Schizosaccharomyces pombe: one gene and its partner. Changing the gene in region 1 together with any one later gene gives a genetic interaction. Each region holds a gene or a part of one and is shown in the gene's direction. Other genes may lie near its edges.

Region 1 (4,684 bases):
ATTTGAACCTTTTCTTTCGACAAAAGGAGGTCTTTAAGATTTGGCAAATTTGAGTAATCTCCAGACCTTAGTCGTTGCCATTCAACACCATTTTCTGGCAGGACTACATTTGTTGCGGCTTCAATCATACTGAGGCCTAGTGAATATACATCGGCTGGTTTCCCATAATTATGCGAAGCTAATATTTCGGGAGCTATATAGACTCTGTCGCCTTCGAGATCAACCATCGAGGAGACCGGTAAACTAGTTGCTAGTCCGAAGTCTCCCAACTTTAAGTTACCATCACGAGTTATAAGAACGTTGGAAGGCTTAACGTCTAAATGAACAAATTCTAAAAGATGAATGAAATTTAATGCCTATGTTCGGTTAGTGAATTCAAATGACGTGTCTGTGGAACGCGACTTTTAAATATGTAATAACTTACTTGAGTTAGTTGAAACAACATTTTCCACACGCGAAAAGGATCCATGACCTGCAATAATCCCAATTCGCTTAAAAATAAACTTAGGTCTCCGTTTTCACAATAATCTAATTGCAAAAATATATTATCATTGTAGCTCCAAACGTTCACTAGATTTACTACAAATGGACATGCTTGCAAGCGTTGCAAAATAGATACTTCCTGTAAGTGACGCTCTTTTCCTGTAAACTTGGCTGCATTTTTTTTTAACATTTTTACAACGTAAACCGTTTCAGTAGGTGGGTTGATCGAAGACACATGATATACAAATGAAAAATCACTCTCGTGTATCGGCTTAACTTGTTGGAATCGAATTCGAAGATCACTAGTCCAATCTTCCTCTTCTTCGTAATCATCTGCGCTGTTGATGTTTAAAAAAATTGGACTGGTAGGTGTCCAACTTAATGAAGAAGGTACGTCTTTCTCATCCCAGTTATTAACGTGGGAACTTGAAAGGAAAATAGGCTGACTCTTGCAAGGCGTTTCGCAAAATTCCAACAAGTCCTCTGAACCATAAGACAAAGAAGGAAGTTCTTCCATTTCAAACGTTTCATCCGAGCTGTCAGAGTTTGGATGATCCAACCGACTAAAAGTATCTAGGTCGATATGTTTACATTTGCGAGCTAAAAGAGAGGTAGTGGGTGACAGCGGAGATTGAGGTGGTTTTAATTTTATTTTCGTTCCCTTTTTACAAGGTGTATGAGGTTGTTCACTTCTTGGATTAGTCAAATTCCCTTCCCATAATGACCACTTTTCACGTTTTGATAACAGTCCTGTGCTTAAAGAAGTCACCGCCCTTTTTCGTTTTAAATCAATTGGCGTTGAAGCATCCACAATTTTTTTGGATAACTTCAAGCCGCTCGAAAATGCAAATGGTTTGCTACACCCATCGAGATCTGAATTCTTAAAAATTCCGTGGCGAACTGTAGTGGATAATCTGATGGCTTTTGCATTATTTTGCATAGGGGTATGTGGACTTCTTTTTGTATTGGAAGGTTTAAAGAATGTCAGTTTTGATGACTTATGGCTCTGATTTTCTTCATGGCCAGACGAAAAATTGTAAATGGGTTCATCGTAGAAATTTAATGGAGAATGCTCATTAAACGAAGAGGATATATTAAAAAAACATGGTGTTCGCGTTGGAGTAATTGGGATGGTGGTTGATGAATCCATCTTTAACTGAAACCTGAATGTAAATAAAGTTATATTTTTTTGCTTATTAGCTGTTAAAATCCCGTTTTCACTTTGATATCTCCGGTTTTCCTAAATAATAAATAATATGCAGATGATAATGTAGTTCAACTCTTCCAACAAAAGGAAAATCACAAAGGATTTATTTCCTTTTGTAGAGAATTAAATAACACTACTATTCTTTTCAGCTTTTAAGGGCTTTTCTATAGCAATGTGTTGTGCGCAAAGGATAACTTTGAAAGTAAACAACCATTGTTGACATGCACGTACACAAACAACACATCTTAAAGTTACGCGTAATATTAAAATGTGTTACGACGCGTCATGACGCGTTCGCGTTTTTCATTTGGGATAACGCGACGCGGCTTCGTTCTTTTGCCTTAAACCAACCACTAATTAAAAAAAAAAGAATTTGCAAACATGGCTGAGCGATTATCCGTGGGTGCACTTCGTATAATCAAGTAAGTTAACTGTCCAAATTATATACTCAAAAGATTTCGACAAATTGGGATGTTAACACGTTTCTTTAGTACATCCGATGCTTCGTCTTTTCCTCCTAATCCAATTCTCCAAGTCTTAACCGTGAAGGAGCTAAACTCAAATCCAACTTCTGGTGCTCCTAAAAGATATCGTGTTGTCCTTTCCGATTCAATCAATTATGCGCAATCTATGTTAAGCACCCAGCTGAACCATTTGGTTGCCGAAAATAAACTTCAAAAAGGAGCGTTCGTACAGCTTACCCAATTCACTGTAAACGTTATGAAAGAAAGAAAAATTTTGATTGTTCTTGGTTTGAATGTTTTAACTGAACTTGGCGTAATGGATAAAATTGGTAATCCCGCTGGTTTAGAAACAGTTGACGCTTTACGGCAGCAGCAAAATGAGCAAAACAATGCTAGCGCACCACGAACAGGTATTTCGACAAGCACTAACTCATTTTATGGAAACAATGCTGCAGCTACAGCACCGGCTCCACCTCCCATGATGAAGAAGCCAGCAGCGCCGAATAGCCTTAGCACAATAATCTACCCAATTGAAGGTCTCTCTCCATATCAGAATAAATGGACTATTCGTGCCCGTGTTACTAACAAATCTGAGGTTAAACATTGGCATAATCAACGAGGTGAAGGAAAGCTTTTTAGCGTAAATTTACTCGATGAAAGTGGGGAGATTCGTGCAACAGGCTTTAATGACCAGGTTGATGCTTTTTATGATATCTTACAGGAAGGTTCGGTTTATTATATATCTCGTTGTCGTGTGAACATTGCAAAAAAACAATATACCAATGTTCAAAACGAGTATGAGCTGATGTTTGAACGTGATACTGAAATAAGGAAAGCTGAGGATCAAACTGCCGTCCCCGTTGCGAAGTTTAGTTTTGTTTCTCTACAAGAAGTCGGCGATGTTGCCAAAGATGCTGTTATCGATGTAATTGGTGTACTCCAAAACGTTGGACCAGTTCAACAAATTACCAGTCGTGCAACTTCTCGTGGATTTGACAAGCGTGATATCACTATCGTTGACCAAACAGGATATGAAATGCGTGTTACGCTTTGGGGAAAGACAGCTATTGAATTCTCTGTTTCTGAAGAAAGTATTCTCGCTTTCAAAGGAGTTAAAGTTAATGACTTTCAAGGACGCTCTTTGTCAATGTTAACTAGCAGCACCATGTCGGTAGATCCAGATATCCAGGAATCTCATTTGTTAAAAGGTTGGTATGATGGACAGGGTAGAGGGCAGGAATTTGCCAAACATAGCGTAATTTCATCTACTTTATCTACTACTGGAAGGAGTGCTGAACGTAAAAATATTGCTGAGGTTCAAGCCGAACATCTGGGAATGTCAGAAACACCCGATTATTTTAGCTTAAAGGGCACCATTGTTTACATTCGAAAGAAAAACGTGTCATATCCTGCTTGCCCTGCTGCTGATTGCAACAAAAAGGTTTTTGATCAAGGTGGCTCCTGGCGATGTGAGAAATGTAATAAAGAATATGATGCTCCTCAATACCGTTATATTATAACTATTGCTGTAGGTGATCATACGGGACAACTCTGGCTCAACGTCTTTGACGACGTCGGTAAATTAATCATGCATAAAACGGCAGACGAATTGAATGATCTACAAGAAAACGACGAAAATGCCTTTATGAATTGTATGGCAGAAGCTTGCTATATGCCATATATCTTTCAATGTCGTGCTAAGCAAGACAATTTTAAAGGTGAAATGCGAGTACGCTATACAGTGATGTCAATTAATCAAATGGACTGGAAGGAAGAGTCTAAAAGATTGATAAATTTCATTGAGTCTGCTCAATAAAACATTGTGTTTTACGTCTCGCTGGTCGAGTAATTGAGTTTTTGGCTTAAATCGCGAAAACTACGATTTATGATTTTGCATACATTGATTACAAAGTGACTCCTTTCCTTATGATTTGGTACTTCACTTACATTTAACTAGATTTAAAGTAATTATATATGATCTGAATTTTTGGAGTAATTAGTTCTGTTGCTTACATATTAAAGTTCCTTGATGGGTAATTTACGCTATAATGGCTTGATTGAAATCACCGCTAAAAGAATGCAATGATATCTTTTAATATGAAGTAAAATATACAGTAAACTTATCAATTGTTTTAGAATTGAAACTGTTGAAGAAATAAATTACCAGATTGTTTTGAAGTAAATACGAGTCTACGAAAATGCAATCCTATTTTAACAGGAATATGAACCATGATTTTTTTAAATTTACTTTATAAATAAACAACTTTAATAAGGAAGCGATTTAGATACCAATAACAGCAGGTTACATTCTTTAATTGAGTAATAATAATATAACTGAGCAAAAAGACTGTTTTGCGACAAATTTTGTTAATTACATACAAAATCTTAAAATACAACATTTCTTTGATTAAATCGTACAAATTTATCTTTAAAGATCCTTAATTAGCTCCCCACATTCTAAATGGAATGGAGTAAACTATTTAATCCGTCTCGCAACAACCTTCAGTAAAACCTTGACAACGAGAGATTT
Region 2 (2,637 bases), on another chromosome or scaffold:
TGAAAAAGAAGCTGAATTGTCAAGTTTATTTGGAATATTGAATTCTGTCAATATTCGCAAAAATTCATTTCGGTGACTTCGACTTAAATCTTGTGCTCTTTGAGAGATTTTTTTTAATAACTTTATAGTGAAAGGTAGGACATCAGAAGGAACAGAAACATCAGAAAGAGGTTGCTGCACCTCTTTCAGCTTTTTAAAGACATTAGGACATCTCAGTAAAACTCTAGATGTACGAAATTCCTTAATAGTACCGTTTTCGTTAATGCTGGTCAATACATTACTATAGTTCCAAACATTAGTACCAGTGCATGCAGCAAGTTCAATGCCTTCGGAGCCCCTATAAAACACTAGCAAATCTCCACGATCGTACTGTCTAAAATTCTCACTGCTGAAATCTTCTAAATCAAAAGAATACTCAAAATCATTTTCCAACTTCTCTTCCTCAGATTTTGTAGTAGTAGGACAAACAGCAGCGCGTTTGTCCTTCTCGAACTTGTCTTTCAACCACTGTCTAATGTTTCCATGATTTTCTAATTCAGAGAAAAATTTTTTAAGGTTTTCCTCATTCACGGATTTCAAATTAGCATTTTTAAATCGATCAATAAGATCTGATTGAGTATGCTTCAAACGCGCACCACAATGTCCCCAAAGATGATGATCGTTTGCTGGTTGTTTCCCGAAATTTATTAGGCATCCAGTTATGCGGAAATATTTCAAAACTTTTGAACTGGAAGGGCAAGCATGATGAAATTTCCTTGTAAGTTTACAAGGAGACAATTTTAAAGACAGGCATACACGTTTTAATAAATAATTAGACTCTAAATTAACATTTTGAAGAAGAAACAATTGCCTATAGTTCATGGGCAAAAACCCTATAATTAGTAACACCAAAAATAGTGTTGATGGTAAATTCGACTAGAGAGCTGAACCAGAGCACTTTTAGGTACTAGCAAGTATTAAGGTAACAAGCTCTGCAAATGTAAATGAAGAGTGGTTTAATAACTAATGTAACAGAAGAAAGATTTCAATATGAGTATGGAGTTTTTTGATTTTTTTTTTTTTGAATTGAATGGTCGAGGGGATGGGCGACTTCAAAGTGAAATACATGAAATCACAACCTCAAGGTAAAACTAATTGAAAAATTATATCATTAAAAGAAGGCTGCTTTCCATCAATTACATTTACTTTTAATTATTGAAGCTTCTGGTCTACGCCTAAGCAATTTACTAATAGTGGTATTGGAAAAGAGAGAAAATTAAGAGTCGCCGACGATTTCAAAAATAGTATAAAATACCATGAAATCTTTCCATAATGTTATTTAAATCACTATATGTAAGACGTATTTATATTGGTCTTTAACCCGTTTATTTACAACATTTCAACCAATTAATAAGTAGTGAAATTAACGCAGAAGGATACAAGGAGATTTTTTTATGAATAATTCTTATAAAAAATAGAACAGTAATGTATCAACGTTAGCCCCCAGCGTTTATATTTACGCTTTTGCTTTTTTATTTACATCCCAGCGCCTTCCAACATATAATACATAACGTACTGCGTTCCAATATTTTAAATAATTCGTGTCAACAAGTAGTTAACTACCTGGTCTGATACATACTTCACTTCCACCACTTTATAAACAACGCGTATAAAATAATATGGAACGCCCTACACCTCGAGTTACGAAAGATATGCTACCAGAATGCTCTGGAAAAACGGTTCGGATTGTTGGCAAGGCGAATCAAGTTGAAGGTGAAACTGCAAAAGTCGATTCCAACGGTTCTTTCGATATGCACCTCACTGTGGTACGTTTTATCTATTTTACAATCGGTTTTCAGAGTTTTTTTATTTTATCTAACTAATTTTAGGATAACACTCTTGAACCCAATCATTTCTATGAATTTGTCGTTTCTGTCAAACCAGATTCTTCGGTGCAGCTTTTAACCTGTGTTGATTTTGGCACTGATATTGGTAAGTTGTGTTTATAAAAATAATAAGGAAGTCCTTTGAACTTCTGCTTCTGCTAAGTCCTACATTCTATTGACCGATTAACTAATTTCCTGTTCCTTTAGATATGGAGGTATACCAGAAACTCGTTCTATTCAGTCATAAGTATAACTCACTTTTTTTTGAATAAGAAACATTTTATGGATCATACAACACAGATTTCTCTTTCATTTCTCATGCACAGTACAAATAAACATGGAAGAATAAACGCGCAGAATCTTGCTTCCTTCTTTTGGTTTTTGCATATTTTATTGCATTTCTAAACTCAAGCTTTTCTTTTATAATGATTCTTCCTTTTGGCTAATACAAATATGAATTTTACTATCGTTTATTTCACTTTTTTTGATTCTTGTTTGAGTATTTTTATATAACGTTCTCCTTTTTTCGCACTATCTTATTTAGTGTATCCTTGAGATGCTCATCGCGGACGATTCGGCTCCGAAGACGGTACATACCGGTGTTTCTTACGTTTGCTCATCCTTCAGTCACCCTGCCATTGTAACAATCCAACTACCATATATATACAAAGCGAGCAACGCAAGTATATCTAGTGGTACTACGCTGAATATCGCTTATTCCTAAAGAAAATTGGTTGTTTTGAGAATTATTATATTACTTTTTCCTTTACAA

The links. A genetic interaction does not mean that the proteins touch.
Region 2: mutations in ssb1 (region 1) and ssb3 are lethal when combined (synthetic lethality), as found in Schizosaccharomyces pombe (one study listed by BioGRID).

What each region holds. Positions count from the first base shown.
Region 1 is NC_003423.3:218,648-223,331, reverse strand, and holds ssb1 (DNA replication factor A subunit Ssb1), read left to right. Parts: upstream 1-2,033; 5' UTR 2,034-2,071; coding exon 2,072-2,112; intron 2,113-2,181; coding exon 2,182-3,970; 3' UTR 3,971-4,150; downstream 4,151-4,684. Other genes in the region: M phase inhibitor protein kinase Mik1, read right to left, coding at 1-356, 425-1,633. UniProt on the Schizosaccharomyces pombe protein: As part of the replication protein A (RPA/RP-A), a single-stranded DNA-binding heterotrimeric complex, may play an essential role in DNA replication, recombination and repair.
Region 2 is NC_003421.2:1,281,386-1,284,022, reverse strand, and holds ssb3 (DNA replication factor A subunit Ssb3), read left to right. Parts: upstream 1-1,621; 5' UTR 1,622-1,658; coding exon 1,659-1,805; intron 1,806-1,868; coding exon 1,869-1,971; intron 1,972-2,072; coding exon 2,073-2,137; downstream 2,138-2,637. Other genes in the region: rpm1 (3' ssRNA-specific 3'-to-5' exonuclease), read right to left, coding at 1-861. UniProt on the Schizosaccharomyces pombe protein: As part of the replication protein A (RPA/RP-A), a single-stranded DNA-binding heterotrimeric complex, may play an essential role in DNA replication, recombination and repair.